Drosophila melanogaster: one gene and its partner. The gene in region 2 interacts genetically with the main gene of each other region. Each region holds a gene or a part of one and is shown on either strand. Other genes may lie near its edges.

What was found. Genes that interact genetically often act in the same process or in processes that back each other up.
Region 1: of nudE (region 2) and Lis-1, changing one suppresses a phenotype caused by changing the other (phenotypic suppression), as found in Drosophila melanogaster (one study listed by BioGRID).

What each region holds. Positions count from the first base shown.
Region 1 is NT_033778.4:16,177,036-16,186,096, reverse strand, and holds Lis-1 (Lissencephaly-1), read right to left. Parts: upstream 7,272-9,061; 5' UTR 7,145-7,271; intron 6,765-7,144; exon of another isoform or gene 6,725-6,764; intron 4,849-6,724; exon of another isoform or gene 4,292-4,848; intron 4,117-4,291; 5' UTR 4,045-4,116; coding exon 4,007-4,044; intron 3,940-4,006; coding exon 3,639-3,939; intron 3,581-3,638; coding exon 3,424-3,580; intron 3,361-3,423; coding exon 3,183-3,360; intron 3,115-3,182; coding exon 2,979-3,114; intron 2,912-2,978; coding exon 2,560-2,911; intron 2,495-2,559; coding exon 2,421-2,494; 3' UTR 994-2,420; downstream 1-993. Other genes in the region: CG8441 (uncharacterized protein), read left to right, coding at 112-285, 346-933. UniProt on the Drosophila melanogaster protein: Positively regulates the activity of the minus-end directed microtubule motor protein dynein. May enhance dynein-mediated microtubule sliding by targeting dynein to the microtubule plus end.
Region 2 is NT_037436.4:9,896,120-9,903,753, forward strand, and holds nudE (nudE), read left to right. Parts: upstream 1-3,121; 5' UTR 3,122-3,236; exon of another isoform or gene 3,237-3,268; intron 3,269-3,606; 5' UTR 3,607-3,885; coding exon 3,886-3,965; intron 3,966-4,033; coding exon 4,034-4,187; intron 4,188-4,303; coding exon 4,304-4,577; intron 4,578-4,641; coding exon 4,642-4,899; coding exon of another isoform or gene 4,900-4,985; exon of another isoform or gene 4,986-5,078; intron 5,079-5,223; coding exon 5,224-5,315; intron 5,316-5,441; coding exon 5,442-5,717; 3' UTR 5,718-5,793; downstream 5,794-7,634. Other genes in the region: CG6707 (uncharacterized protein), read right to left, coding at 1-3, 60-269, 335-516, 1,810-1,936; CG46387 (uncharacterized protein), read left to right, coding at 2,612-3,049. UniProt on the Drosophila melanogaster protein: Chaperone protein with functions in nuclear localization. Required for centrosome duplication and formation and function of the mitotic spindle.

The DNA of each region.
Region 1 (9,061 bases), on a different chromosome or scaffold from region 2:
AATTTTACAGATCAAGCATAGTCCCCGTTAAGTTTTTTTTTTAATTCGGTGTGTATTTTTTACGACTTGTAATACAGCCACACATAAAATACTGTTTTTAACCAAACAAACATGTCGCTTATAAAGAATTTGGTAAAAGAGCCCGAACAGAAGGCAAAGAAAAAGAAAAAGAATGCGGGATCTGGAGAAAGCGATTCCGATGAGAAGGACAAGCCTCTGCGGCCGTTCATCAAAACCGCGACAGATCTACAGAGGCTGAAGCTGGAGAAGCTCATGAAGAATCCGGTATGTGTTTGCATTGGAAAGCTGGGTGGACATTCATATTAATAAACCTTTTATTGCCAGGATAAGCCCGTGGTCATACCGGAGCAGCGTCGCGAACGGGACTTCATGTCCTCGGTGCCCACGTTCGTGCGGAATGTGATGGGAAGCAGTGCTGGAGCGGGTTCCGGCGAGTTCCATGTGTACCGCCACTTGCGACGCAAGGAGTACGCCCGCCAGAAGAACATCCAGAACCAGAGTGCCCGCGAAGCAGCAGATGAAGCTTACCAGCAGAAGTTGGACGACAACAGACGCGCGGCCGAAGAAAAGACTGCTAAGAAACGAGCCAAACGGTTGAAGAGAAAACAGAGGGCGAAAAAGCCGAGAGAGGACAAGAAGCCACTGGCTAAGGAAGCCTCAGAGGATAGTAACACAGATTCCGAGGAAGAGCCCACAGAAGAAAAGGCAGAAAGTAGCCCTGAGGAAGGACAACAGGTGGCATCCAAGGAATCCGACGACAATAACACCCAAGAAACTTCGAATGAAGAGGCAGTGAATTCAAATACAGAAGCGAAAAGCGCAGAGGACACAAATGCAGTGGAATTAGATAGCACCGAAGCTACAAAGGAATCCCAAAATGTGGATCAAGAACAAGACAAGCCTGTGCCTTAGTACCTCCTGTTCTATTCCTATCAATAAACCGTTTAGAGTAATAAAACACAGTGCGGTTTTATTTATAGTACTTTTGTAATATATATATATTAAGCGATTTCTATACATCGCCAGTATCTAGGGGTTTTCATCTGAGGCCATCTTTCTAAAGCAGCTTGGTTGAGAAGAAAGCGTTTTGCGAATTATGCATTGAGTTGTCGTGGCTTTAGTGCGCATTTTGTTTTTTGTTGTCTTACATTTATAAGGTGCATCAAATGTTGCATTTTTGAGTATAATAAATGCTTTCAAAATTTGACATCGCAGGCAATACATTAATTATACCCTTGACAGAAATCCACCATTTTTAGTTCTGGGTATAAACATATTTTTTTCTGGTTTCTTGAAGAAGCAAGTTTTTATTGTTTTCAATAATTAGATTTCTTTGAATCCGAAAAATCGTTTCTTCTAATTGTTGGATTTTTCTGCGTTTTGTTTTTGTTTTCTCAGATACATCTATATGATTTCTCGGTTTTGCACAAATAATTATTTATAGTATATTTATATATAGGTATATTTTTTGCCGTTGCTCTTAAATAAACAATTACAAATAAATTTGCAGCATTTTTCTACTATGTAAACCGTAAAAGTAAATTATATTTTGAACTTAAAGCCAACTTAAATTTGTAAGCATTTTGAAAGGTATTTGTTTTTGTTGAAGATCCTTTCGCGAAAAAGAACACAAAACAGGAATTGTGTAAAGTGAATATGGTTAAAAGAAGCAAACTGTTATCGTTAAAACTACCTCAATTATGATAAAAAGCATGTTGCACTCCTCTCCAAGTAATTCTCATTAACAAACTTCTCTTTGTGAGTACAAGTTTTCTTAGATGTTGAAATACTTCCTTGCTTATATAAATTTTCCAGTGAATTTAGCTATTATTATGCATACATTTTGCAAACACTAAAACACATCAACGTCATTGAATTTTTTTCAAGTGAGTGCGAGTGCTCGGGTACATTTGTGGATGGAAAAACATTTCTGCGCCACATGGTACACATGGTATTAGCCGTCGAATGAAATACAGTTTACCATTGTAAATACGTTCCATTCTCATCGAATTCTACGACAAATTCAAGTTAGGATGCCCGTTTGCTTAGCGAGCCAATGCTGGTTTATAAAGGAGGGCGGCATTAACTTTAAACGATAATCGTATGTATGTATTTTTTGGGCATTTTGTTTATGTACTTTGTATAGTAGGTAGGTAGTTAGTTTAGTTAGAAGGTCGTACAATTAAATAAATAATTCGTTTTCGCCAGTTTCATTCAGTTTTAAAATACAATATGTTCATTTTACGCTGACACAGAAAGCGTCTGGAAAATAAACTTCCGCGGAGGTGGCCGAGACTGCTCGTGTATGGGCGTGTTGTGTGGGTATGTGATTTAATATATTAGCTTTATTTATGTTTAAATTGAGAAGTAAGCAGAACCCTTGCCGATTCTTCCTTAATTTAACGACATTCCCAGACCTTTACTGTTTGATCTACGCTACCGCTAATTACGTACGGATGCGCTTTGTGAAAATCTGCAAGAAAACGGATGACAATTAAAATATATAGTTCATACACACAATGCCTTGTGTGGACCCACCTATGGAGGTGCAGAAATGCTGATGCGCGTATAGCGTCTTCATGCATCGCTTGTTGCGCAAGTCCCACACCCGAATGGTCTTGTCATCGCTGGCCGACACCAAGTATTTGCCACCAGGATGGAATGCCAGGCCACGCACCCAATTGTCATGGCCACTCAGGGTAAGCAGGCACAGGCCGACGCTCACGTCCCAAATGCGAATGGTTTTGTCGCGAGAGCCGGAGGCCAGGAACGGGCCCTGGTGATGGCCCTTCTTGTTGTCTGCTCCGGCTGCCTCGTTTATCGCAGAGGCTGCGGCTTCCGGCGCCCAGGCAATGCACTCCACAGTATGCTCATGATCGCGTAATTCAACCTGCAGAAGAATCAAACCGTCGTTAGACTCTTCATTGCCAGCAGAAGCTGCACATGGCAATGCTCACCTTGCAGTCTTTTGAATTCGTCAACCAAACACGTATTGTCTGATCATTTGAGCATGTGGCAAAGATGCTGCCTTCGATGTGCACTCGCACCATTCGCACCCACTCTCGATGGCCTGTGTAGGTTTTCACACAGTAGCTGAGGATGAGAAGTCACATGTTGGTCATATTATCCCTTAAACGAAATGTCCTTTTTCTTTAACTCACCCTGTGGCCACCTCCCACATTTTAATAGTGCGGTCCCGGGATGCAGAGAGTACATAATCTCCGGCCGGCACAAAGGCCACCGACGAGACATTGTGATCGTGACCATGCATAGTTTTGATACACTCGTAGCTCTGCTGGAAATCCCACAATTTGATGGATAAGTCCGCGCTGCAGGAGGCTGTTGCAATTAAAGCAAAATTAAATTGGTTTTACTATATATTCAACTATGGCAAGATCTTACCCAAAAGCTTGCCCTGGGCATCAAATGCGACATCCTGCACAGAGTCCGTGTGTCCCTTCAGGCTGCGTTCGTACTCGCCAGTTTCGAAGTCCCAAATCCTAATGGTGGCGTCTTCGGATGCGGAAACCATAAGAGCAAAGATGGGGTGGAAAATTACCTGCAATTATAAAATGTAAATGTAAAATGTTTATTAATTTGTTAACTTCTCAACTTACCCTCGTTATGCTGGCACGATGACCGGTCAGGGAGAACTTCTCTGGCGGCCGAGGTATCCACTCGCCAGGCGTCCGTTTGTTCTTTGTGGGCGCCCCCTCGATGACCTCCTTCTCAGCTTCAGTGAGCTTAGCCTCTAGTTCCATCACTTTCTTCTGCAGCCGAATCACGGACGTCCACTTCTTTTCCAACAGTCCGCCAAATTTCTTTTCCACTTCTGTGCTGAGATCGGCCTCCTTGCGGAAGGTCTCCAATGAGTCGGCGTAGCCATTTGAGCCCAGATAATCGGCAATCGCTTGGTTACTGATGGCGATACAATTAAAAGGATTAGTTCATGGGGTAATAGTTATATAAGACGACTGGGACTTACAGCTCCTCGCGCTGCCGCTGCGACAACACCATTTTCATACTGTTTTCCGATTTGGCTTGTTTTGCTTCTCTCGTTCGCAATTCGGTTATCCGCCTTCAACTCTTGCAATTCTGCAATGGAAAAGGTAGACATTCAATATGTGTACAGCAGTTCTTACCACAGTCAGATACAAGATATATTTCCTATATACATATCTTGCAAACCATTTCGTTAGACAGAGTTATGTATAATTTTTGGTTCATCTATCGAACTTCTACTGTATAATCATATGATGATTTGATGTACCTGGGACAGGAAATTGGTTTCGCAAAACCTAAATGCCAAAAATGCCAGCAAGTTTCGTTTGAGTTCTCATGGAGGGCAGGCGAGTCACCCACATTTTCTTGAATTTTTTTGGCAGCAGTATTTCTGTTTCCTATGCTCACCTTTCGTCTAGTCATTATATTGTTTCATTCTCCCAAAGCGGAGCATCATCATTATCATCGTGTCTTTGGTTTCTGGCACACATTTTTGTGTTGCCCGTGCCTCGAATAAGTGGGCAAAAAAAAAATAATAATCGAAACTTTGGCAATGCTTGAAGCGAAGCAGCAGCAGCATTTGGTAACCCCTGCAATCGAACTGCACTCGTCATCGGTGAGTTCAAGGGTCGATTTCACATGGAATTAGGCAGAAATCATATGGGTGCGCTATTTGTTTGTTTAGTGCCCATGTTTTTTTGACTGCAAAACCTTTTTAATCAACTCAAGGTGGCCAAATCATGGGTATAGCACGCAATATAACAACAGCAATCGGAAACAAATAGCTAACGCATATCTCGCGTACTTGATAACGATGGACAACTGACGCGTTGCCAACGAATATACTAGCGAAGGAAAATCCACGACAAGGCAAAGCCAATTAGCCAGACTTAACGGTAGTTCAAGCAACTTCTTATAGGTAAATAAGGCTGCGAAAGAGCGTGCGAGCGAAGAAGCAGAACAAACACGGGCACCAGAGGTGCAATTGATAGCATAAAAACTAATTCAGCTGTTTCTTTTATTTGTGCTAAATAGTTATTGGCTATATGATCATTAAATTAATAGGTGTTATGAAAACATAAACAAGACCTAAATATCTCGAATTCATTACTAATTTCATGGCCCCACCTGTGAGAGACACGCTCACACATCACGGTCTAGGAAATGACGTTTCCAAATTATTTTTGGCCAAATGATATTTAACGATTTTTTTGAACTAGCAAATATGGCAAAAAAAAAAGACAAGCAAAAACTGACCAAACGGGTTCACAGCCGAATCCGATTCGAAACGGCCACTCAATATAGCCGTGAGTCATTCGGCTGGACGCGACTTGAACTACTCCTATAGGGCTTATCAGCTGTATTCGAGCACTTGGCGCTCATCATTTGAATATTGTGGGTGGATGTTTGGCTGCGCTCTAACTGCGCATCTAAATATATCCCAGGAAAATCGATGAAAAGCGTTGCGAGCGTCACGGGTATTAATGGAAAAGTGGAGCGTGGGCAGCAAAGTGGGGTTAAGATAGTGGGGGGTCCCTTAAACCATCGAACGAAGTCAACACTGTTTGTGTTGTGGCAACCAGGCATTCCGAAACACAAAGCCATGCGCATTGTAACCGTAAAGCTGTGGGTGTGTGCCATATGGGGGAATGAAAACAATGGGAAGGGGGCGTTTGGGTCGCACGCCACACCAGAAATGTTACTAAATCAGTAAAAATCATATGGGATTCTCATTGTTGCACTTGCTCAAGTTAATTTAATATTTGAATTTTAAATGGTTTTGGGTGGGCGTGAGAGCGAGATAGTTGGCAAGGGGCATAGACCAGGGCTGCAACGAACACACACACACACACAGTAAGGTCTTGAATTTTAAGGATCTTTCTCTTCCTCTCACTCCCCCTTTCGTTTGAATTCGCTTGCTTATTCTCTCTCTCCCGCTCTGGCAAACAGACCTTGCACTTGCCTTTGCTTGTTTATTTGCGTGTTTCATTGATTAGCACACACTCACACACGCGCCGGCGAGCAAATGCAATTGCAATTTCAAGTGCAAAAAGAGAGAGGAAAAAGGAAAACAATAGCCAAAAAAGCTTTGAACTCCAGCTTTAACCCCACGACGGGCATCGAATGCAGGGACTAACCGTTAAGTGCCGAGACTTTTTGCTTTGCCTTTCTTTAACCCACTGCTGGAAACGTGCAAAAAGCTCGTCACTAGATAATAGAAACAATTTGCAGTGTCAGGAGCGCTTTCCACACATTCTGGGAAATCGCAACGGGTCTTGAATATCTAAAAGAATGCCGCAGCAAAAAAGCCCAAAACGGAAAACTGTAAAAAAAAAACAAAAACAACTACACAAGCACAACGAAGAAAATAAAACGAGATTTCTTGTGCATTGGCAGAACTGGTTTGCCCAGTAATAGGTGTTGTTGGCCTATGGGGGAACGGGAAGTACATATATGCAAGGAATCGGCCAGTTCGGGGACTCGACTTGGCTAAAAATCGATCAATTCTACTTTTGGCGAGGGGGAGGACTCCAAACATGCGCGAAAATCCACAGACATCGTCACTCGCACACACACACACACTCGCGCACGCACACCAACGCACTCGATGTGTCATCGCTTTCTGGTGGTTGTAAATAAAATGTAATCATAGTTCGTTTCTCCACTTATTTACTGATCGTCTTTTTGTTCAACACACTACTTTTTTTGTGCATAATTTGCATAACTCTTTCGCTTGTTTTTTCATTCTCTTTTCAATAACAAACACAATAACAACAACAGTTTGAACGAAAATACTGTTACGACGGCCATCTTGGATAGAGAGAGGGGGCCAAGAGAAAGAAATGTCCCAAAGGCAATATGCATAATGGGGAAAAAGGACAAATATCCAAGCGCACATATAGTATATTATATTTTCCGACTCCAACCGACATGCTTGGTACATAATGCGCGAACTAACACTTTGCCATTGGCAGTTTTGTACATATGACGTTTTTTTTTCTTCATTTCTCCCAATAGCCCATTACACGGGTTGGTTGCGAAAAATCCATTTTGCTTGGGTGTTCTATTTACAACGCGGCGACTCGGTGTTTGTTCTTATTATGCAGCGAACGTTACTTACAACAATTTAGTATTTCATATATTTATAATTACGCTTATTTATTTATGTTTAATCGAAATATACGAAAAGAATTACGCAGAAAAGTGACGAGCGGACGAAAATGCTTCGATTAGTGTGACCGCAGTGGAAGCAGCTCAAAAAACATCACGGGACTATCGATGACAGCGATTAGCTATCGATGTGACTAGGAATGTAGAAAAATGTTAATAAAAATATGTATAATAACTTCTAAATACTTTTTATATCTTATATAAGACCTAAGGACTGAAACCATTGAGTAAAGAACGAGTTGCCATAACTTAAGCCCTACTTCCATGCAAGCGCAGTGTGAACAGCTTAAAAAATTGGCGCGCTATTTAAAATGCTGATAAGGAAATGGACCTTCGTCAGCTTTTTTTTTGCGGAACCACAACGCCTATCCGTGAGTGAACAAAATGGGTTTCCAATTATTTATGCCATATAAGTATTGCTATTTATTTATAACACATCCCAATTCGATAGTCAACACTGCAGTTTGCTAATTGTAAACCGACTTTGTTGTTATCTTACACACACATTCGCGATGGGAGTAAACTTTCCTTATCACCGCTCACACAGCGCCAGAACACAACACAACCGATTTATGGAGTGCTCCCTTTGGCGCTCAGTATTCGAGAATCGCTCAGCGGAAACGGTTATTAGTTTACTGATTTTCGGGCGACACACACACATTCGTTATTCATAGTTGGTGCGCCCAAATATTCGCGAAACAGCAACAACAATTAGCAACCATCTGTCACCTGTGAGTGCAGCGTATCGTACACAATCTCAATCGCTCATTGGGAAAATTGCCGAATAATGTAAATCATTTGCCAAATTTGGGCACTCGTTGTGTGTTATCAGTGTTTGAGATTTAATCAGCCATTTTGTACGCATTACATTATATCGATATAGCCGCTATATCAGCCAATTCTATGGCTCTATAGATATATGTTAAATATGATTCAGTTTAGCAATGCTTGCTAATCCTGCGGTAGCCGATCCTCTTGGCCACATTAGCGTTTAACTGGCGAAATCGAAAGCCATTTATGAGCCAGCACCGTATGGCTGTTATCAGACCGACAACTCTGATGATTATATGCCGATGATAAAGGCCGCTTGTTCGTTTGTAAACGTTAAATTGTTATTATTGGCTTACTTGGTGTTTTGGAAAACCTCGGCGCGCTGCGATTTGTTTAAACAATCGGGCACAGACATTGGCAAATTGTCAACGTTCCATTGCCACACTTTCTGATAACCAAACCCATTAATAATGATCGGAAAGTGTCATTTTTTTTATTTGCTCCAAAGAAGAGCTGTCTTCTTCGCTTGCTTCCGTTGCCGGCAGCGACAACTGAAATTAGTAATTAGTGCTGCCAATTTGAGGGTACGGAATTCTTTCGATTAGCAAGCTCTTCGATGACGCACTCAGCATATCGGCAATATAGTCTATATATCTATATCTATATATCTATTGCTATACCCATTCCATTTGCGACTGCGTGATGGGATTGCAAACAGAGCCGCGATTCGAATTCGAGGATCGTCGTCGGCGATTCTCTGCGATTTTAGCGAATCTGTCGTTAATTTTGTTCGATTATTATTGGGTTGTCCAACAAGCCAGATTACTATCTGTATCTATATCTGCTGGCCACTTCTCCAGCCTGTGAAGTGGCTTGATAAGATTCTAGGGATCCAAAAAATCCAACAAAAAATTCAGAGAATATTGCGACATGACATTGCTGGAGTTTCCAACTTCATTCTCATGAATTTCCGCCGCATTAAAAGGCTTTGGGTGTAAGCCACGACATTGAGATAACCCCCTTTTTATTTTTTTTTTTTGGTATCTCGACCATTTCGTTTATTTTTTTACATTTTCCACTTACGTGTGGTATTTGT
Region 2 (7,634 bases):
GAACTGTAAGAGCAAGCGTTACAAGACTCCTGCTGCTGTGATTTGGATTAATAACTCACCAAAAACGTGTCCGAACAGTGGCCACAAGTGACGCGGCACATGCCCGGCATGGTTGGCACGGGCGGGGTGACGGGACTTGGGGCCAGGTTGATGATCCTCTTGCAATTGGGCCTTGGACAAGCGATTCGCTGCGACGAGCTCTTGCAGATTAACAAACAGTTGCATGGGCAGCGAACATACTTCTTGCCCGCTGGAGCGTTCCGAATGGGCTGTTGATAGCCAAAAGCGTATTAAGTTACAATTGGATTCAAAGAATCTGCTTAGAATTACTCACAGTAGCCTCATTGCAGTGGGTGCACTTGACCACGTGCTGCTCCCGCTTCGTGGTGATGTCAATCATGTGTTGACATACCCGACAGGTGACCATCGGGACGCCTCCGGTGTTGGTACTCTGCTGATACGGCGGCGGCAGCTCATCGGGTCCAATGCAAGGCACTGCGGTCGGTGCTCCATTGCCTAAAATTCCATTGCAAAGTATTATTAACTACTTATAATATTGTTAAGACCCATGCCCTTCAAAGGCGAGACCTTTGGTGTAGAATAAATACATCTCGCCAGCAGAGTTCGCTCAACCACACTGCTCATCTGGCGGTGATTGGCTCATGGAGGGAGTGAGAACTGCATTTTCTGATAGTGTGCAGTGTGTGGCTCTGGGAAGCTGCGATAAACCAAATGGGTCAATGTTTTGGCGTTATGAATGCAGCTTTCTCGTACAAGCATTAAACTAGTGCAACTAGACCGCAGTTGTGGTTCTCGTCTCTCGATCAAAACAAGTTCGAACTTTGTGAAAGACGTTTTTAAATGAAAACAACGCAAAGAGTAACATCGCACACACTCTTTAGGAAAATTGATATGAAGTGGATAAATTGCAAATAAAGTCATATTACTTTGGCTAAATAAATATATAATGTCAAAAAGAAAGGAATACAGAAAGATAACCTATGCAAATTAATTGGGAACATGGAAAGTCGTAAAGCCCTTGTAACTAAACTCTTGTATATATTAATGATATGGACAAGCTTTTTCCGAGCTGAAGATCAGGTTCCTTGGTAAACAATGGAACCACTGCTCATCGCAGACCCTCATTTTCGCCCTGTATTGCGATAAGGCAGCGAATGACATGATGACTCATGGACTCATTGACTGCCCCCGCTTAACCACCACTATAGCAACACCTCCGAATCGATGCTGATTAAACAGCTGTGGGGAACGCTTTTTGCGCTGATTACGAGCGTCCTAGCATAAACAATAACAAAGGCGGTGCAAAAATTTTGCCGATACCGGCGTCGAGTAACTAACTACAATCGATCTTTACATTTTTGGCAGCTCTTCACAATTTCGTGATAAAATTACATTTTTTTTATGGTGTACGTGGCCCATTTGATATTTAGGCCAATAAGAAAATTTTATATTAGGTTGTAAATTTTTGGTAATACCAATAATACTGGGCCCTATTAAAAAATAAAAAAATGGCAGATAATTTAAAATGGCATTTGGGCACCACATATCCTATCAGTTTTTCTTTCTGTGCAGTCCCATTGCTCTCCCCCCGCACCAAACCACACGCATTTATGACTCAGTTGGGTGAAGTGTGAAAATGCCAAATGAGACGGCGAGCAGACAACTCGGAATCACGGCGTTGGATCCGGATAAGTGGAGCGCCCGCACACTTGTTGGGCTTCCAATGGGTTGCCCGCCCGGCTGATTGGATGCGGGTTGAATGCCCGGCTTTACAGTAACGATACGCACCGTCCTCGTTTGTGGCCACCGATGAGTTGCTGCCGGGATTATCGGCACCCTCGTCCACGGCGTCCACGGAATTGTAGCCATTGCCGTCGTCCTTGTTGATCAGGCTTTGTCGCTCTGGATCCGCCATTGTGGACTATCTTCCGATAAATGGATATTTATATGTGTGGACTATAATCTCTATATGCTGGAGCAATTCCCGTTAGGCTGCACTTCCAGTTGCCTTTGTTTTGTTGTTGCTGTTGCTGCGGGGGCTGCTGCAACGCGTTGATTTCAACTGGAAAATGAGTGGGAAATCCAATAGTTTAGTTGCTGTGCCACATAATTTCGGACGCAACGAGCTCTTTGTTCACGATTGCCGCAGTAGTTTGGTTTTTTTTTTCTTCGTTCGTCGCGGTTTTCACTCGCGTTGATTGAAACACATCCTCCCTTTTTTCACTTTTCGGCATGCGCCGCAATTAATCAATTCGATGATGCTGCATGTGCAACGCCCACGCGAGCTCGATTGTCGCACTCACACAGTTGACATTTGGTTATAATACTGGCAATTGCGTTAATTGTTTAACAATTGCTGGCCATAATTGTGCTATATTTTACCTTATTTTTGTTGAAAATGCACTGCAGTCGCTGCGATCTGGCCACACTCTGGCTAGCTATCTGGCAACGATGTCCCGTTTGAGATTTTTCAGTTGCGGCCCTGCCAGGGAGTTGCCACATCGTTGTACTTGGTAAAGAACCAGAAACAGATCAGCGAAAAATTGTTCATTTTTGGAACCAAAACAATCCAGCGCGGCTTAAAACAAATATGTCTAAAATCACGAAAAACTCCAATAAAATTGACAATAAGGATTCTGTAAGCGGGGAAGGCTCAAATAGTGGGGACGATAACACGTCCACAAGTTCAAGTGACTTTGAAACAAGCAGAAAACACAAACTACGCCGCAAATCCTGTCGAAATGTATCATATCATTATCATGCGCTGCCCATGCGCGTAGTTGGCGAAAATGTTGCAGCACTGCCACAAACTCCCAGCTCCACTCGTGATTTAACACTAAGCTCAGCTCAAATAATTGAAGATAGTTCCGACTCTGAGTTTCATATTTCGGACGATACCAGCAACGATGCGCCGGCCAACAAATCGATAACGTTCACAGCACGTCCATTAGAGAAATATGATTTGGAATATATAAGAAAACTACGTAAACGCAAAAAAAAGCCGAGTAAAACTTTATATGTTGATTAAATTTCAAATAACAACTGTTGACCAGGGCTGGAAACGGCAAATGCCCATCTATTGGCCAACACTGGCAACCCAAGCCAGGGTTGGCTTGTGCGTTTTTGGAGTAGTGGTAAATTTTTACGAGCATAACTATTTACACTGATTTTATGTAAATAAAACAAACAAAACGTAGCAAAATTAAGTGCAAAGTGTAAGTAGTAAATGTGGACAGTCGTGCTGTATAAAATTCTAGGTATAAACACTGGAATTCTACGAAAAAATCACCGATGATTTCATTTCCATGCAGTGCGTTGTTGTATGGGAAACTTCGTCGTAGCTATTTGTTGTTGTTGTTGTTGCTGCTGCTCATCACCATCATCCTCGTTGTTTTCGTTGTTGTTGCCGCAGCAGCTGCGTCACAAAAATGAGTTTTGTTTAATTTGATTTTATTTACATTTGATATGGACAAAACCGACTGCCCTTTTAGGGCATCGAACAAGAACAACAGCAACAGTAACTACAAAATTCAGGGCAAACACCTGTTCCTAATTGATTTTTCACTTTTCTTCGCCGACTTCTAGTCTATTCACCACCCCCAACACACAAAACAAAAAAAAAGTAAAACTACGACTTGAACAACAACTGTGTTTTGGCATTTTAATCACAGCAATTAAAAACAAAGCAGCCAAAAAACACGAATAAATAACCCAAACAGTAATAGACCAACCGTAGTACATAGCATTGTTCAGAAATTAAAAGTTAAATCAATTCGAACGAACGAAATTACAAACCCATTTTGACCGCCGATTAGTACACAAAAACCAGAAAAAGGAGTTAGCAGCTAAGGAAAATTTGCAGAAATGGAGTCGCCCCCGATGTTCAATAGTGTGGAAGATGAGTGCAGATATTGGAAGGAACGATCTAAGCAGTACCACAAAGAGTAAGTGCCCATCCCTATTACAGTCTCCGAAATCAGCCATATAGCCTAGTTTTACTTTTAATTTTCAGGTGGACAGACGTGAAACAGGAGTACGACGAGTTTGTGGAGCAGTCCCGCGAAATGGAAATAGAAATGGACGCCACTCTGGACCAGAAGCAGAGTATAATCAAAGATCTCACAGCCAAACTCACAATGTTTGAGCGGGAAAACGAGTCTCTCAAGGTAGCTATAAGCTAAGCCCGATTTACACAAACTGAGCTTAATTCTTAGACTCAGTTTGCGTATATGTGGCTTTGAGCTCCCGACAAGATTAGTCTTTACAACTATTTCATTCTCAGCTCAAGTTGGAATCGCATGGCATCGATATGTCAAACATGGAGAAACAGCTGGAAACGGTGAAGAAGGATCGCGACACCATGAAGGTGTACCTGCGGCAGCTGGAGCAGAAAAACGACGATTTGGAACGTGCCCATCGCATACTTAACGAAAGCATAGAGAATTTCGAGAAGATGCTGGATCAGGCCTACGAGAAGAACGCCCTTCTGGAGCTGGAAGTGGATGAAAAGGGATTGCTGCAGGAAAAACTACAGCGATTAATGGATGAGACGAGAGGTGGATGCATCTATACCAGATGTCCAGCACAGACTTTAAAACTAATTCATCAAATCTATTGCAGATCTCAAACAAGAGCTGAACGTCAAGTCACGCTTTACCCCAGTGGTCAATGGAACGAGCGTTCCCACGGCAAACGACACAAATACGGTCAACAGCTCGATGAACTCGTCCGCCTCGCTGCCAAATGGTATTGTTGCCAATGGCGAATTGGTAAAACACGACAATGCTGTCGCCACAAGAGCCACCAGCGTCAGCGTCAACGCCCTCAATGGCAGTTTAGTTAATAGAAACGAATATAACCAGCAGCATTCGCTTAAGAGTAAGATACTAAGTTCCCTAAAGAAAACCAGACGCGCGCTAAAACTGTCCAAGACGAATCGCCAAACGTTCAAGCCATGCATTTAGTATTGTTTTTCCATTTGTTTCTTTTTTACTTGTTAACCAAAAAATGTAGCCCGCTTAAGTTCCTCATAATTTGTAATTGTATTGTAAATTATTAAAATTAAGAGCCCAAATGTGACGAAAGAGTTTGCAACATTTCTTGTAGGCGATTTTTGTACGATTTGTGTTTGCGTCTGTAGCTAGTAGTTGACCTAACTAACCTCTCGACTAACATGCTGTGTACGTGTGCTTCCTCTTGCAGATCCCGAGAATCAAATCAATGGCAATTCCATGAACCCCAGCTCCCGCACAACGGCGCTCAACATTGTGGCCGACATGTTAAGAAAACTAAACGTAAGTCCCTCCGCAAACTATAAGTCCAGCATGCCATCCTACCTCATCCATTGTTTCGTATGTACATATGATCCTTGAACCCTTCACTCCCACCATCGGCTTATGTGTTTTTCCCTATGTTTTTAGTGGGACAAGGCACTGCTATGTCCCGAGTGCGAAAAGTTTCGCTGCATGTGTGAGCGCCCGGCAAGTGTGCAGCCGCCGCCGCCGCCATCGGCCAGCGAGGCAAGTCTTTTTCGCCGCGCCTTTGGCGGCAGCAGCAGCTCAGTGGCCACCAGTAGCGCCCAGTCCACGCCCACCAGCGATTGCAGCTCCGCCGGAAGCCTCAGTGCGGGCTCAAACATTTTTAGGCGCTTCGCCGAGCGCATGCGAAACTCGCCGGACGCCAGCCTGCCGCTCTGACAATGCGCTCGGAACTTTAAGGCTAATTTTAGTTGCCCTCCGCTTGCATTTATTAATTGCATTGGTTAATAAATACAAAATTTATTTGTACCTTATTTTATGTTCTTTGTTTTTGTTCGTTATGATTTATTCAGTTTCGAAAGCGCATAATAACTTGGCTTGCTGACTAAACTCTGCACTGGGCAAACCGTTGCGAAATGAAATTTTCATTAATTTATTTATTATATGATGTGCCCAAATCCTTCTATAGTTAATTTTTCATATAGTTCACTGACTGTTGCTTAATCCGCTCTCGTTTTGTGTTTTTTTTTTAGGCGATGGAGACGAAACTGAAGACGTACCGCGAGAATGGTCAGCCAATGCCGCAGCGACACCGCTCCTCCCAGCAATCCACACATCCGGCGCTGGCCGGACTGCCTTGCTTCTCGCTGGATGCCGAGTAGTGTGGATTCTGCAGTTCAGCGTGATCCACAAACCCCAAATCCGAAACCCAATCACCTAGGGCGGGATACTGTTCAGTTGGCTTTACGTTTACGTTACGTTACTTTAATGTTACTGTTCGCATTAATTAAGTTTCTGCTGCCTCTTTATTTATTTGAACTAAAATGACTTTGTATAAACCACTTGCGATATTATGAATTACACAACAGTTGATGTTGTTGTTTCGAGCCCAACATATATAACATGCCTTAGTACGAATTAAGTGTATACCTAAGCTATAAGTACCCACTCGGTTCACTTTTGACTTGAATTGTTAACTCGAACGCAATTGTTTTGGCATACAATGTGTTTAGCGACTAAGTTCAAAGTTGATCAACCAGCAAAACAAGCGAAGAAGCTCTGTCCAAGTATTATACTTCAAGCGGACAACCAATACTCGTAGCGTTTAGGAAAAAGACAAGATCTAACCCGGGAAAAAAAATTATTAAAATTATCGAAACGATCATCTAGTTATATTGTAACTATCCCCAGAGCTATTTTCTGTTTATATTTACCAGCGAATATAAATTTGTAAAAATGCAAAATATTGCTAACGGCAAACTGTATAAAGCATAACAAAACTCCAACGAACAGGCAAACAAAATATATATATATATGTATGAATAAAGAGCAAAATAATTAGTTTAATAGAAACCATCCACAAGCACATCAATGTCGATGCCGTGTGTGTTGCAACTAATTAGTTTTAAATAATATTTGAGTTCATTACACAAGTTGAATGCTGCGTCAATTCCTATGCCAAGGCCGAATTTTCATATCGAGAGCTTTTCGCAGGGGAAACTTTCCCCGTTTTAGACCCATTTCATTGCGGATTTTCCCGGAGCTTTAGCCCCAACCAAAAGGATGCTGAGCTCACTGAGTTTGTGGATGGAGTCGGCTGGTGGACGCACAGTGCTCCATGGTGGGCAAAGTAAACTGGATCTGATGCCGACCTTGCTGGCGAGAAGGTCCCGTTGGCGGTAAGCTAATGAAAGTACTTTGGTTTTTATAAGTAAGCACCGGGTGGGTTAGCGTCGTCGAGTGCTTGGCATTAAGCGAGCCATGCTAGCTGGTTGGCTGGAGAACTAACTCCTTTCCAGATGCCAAATCCGCCACAGCAAATGCAGCGAGGGAAAAGTGAAGTGAAAAATGAAAATATGACACAAGCTTTTATCATACGCATAGCACTTACCAGGGCAAAAAGGGATGGACTTTCCTGGACCTGCCTGGTGTTGCTGTTGCTCTTGTTTGCTGCTGAGTGCATTGTTTGCTCCCGTGGGCGGTATGGGCGGTCTAGGTGGTTGTCCAGGGGGCGTGGCAGTGGCCATAAGCGGATTGGGAATGGCACAATGCAATTGCCGTTTGAAATAAAAGTGAGCAGACACAAAGCCAGTCCTGCATGAGTGCACCGAAAAACAATTCGGATGCATCGGTTTA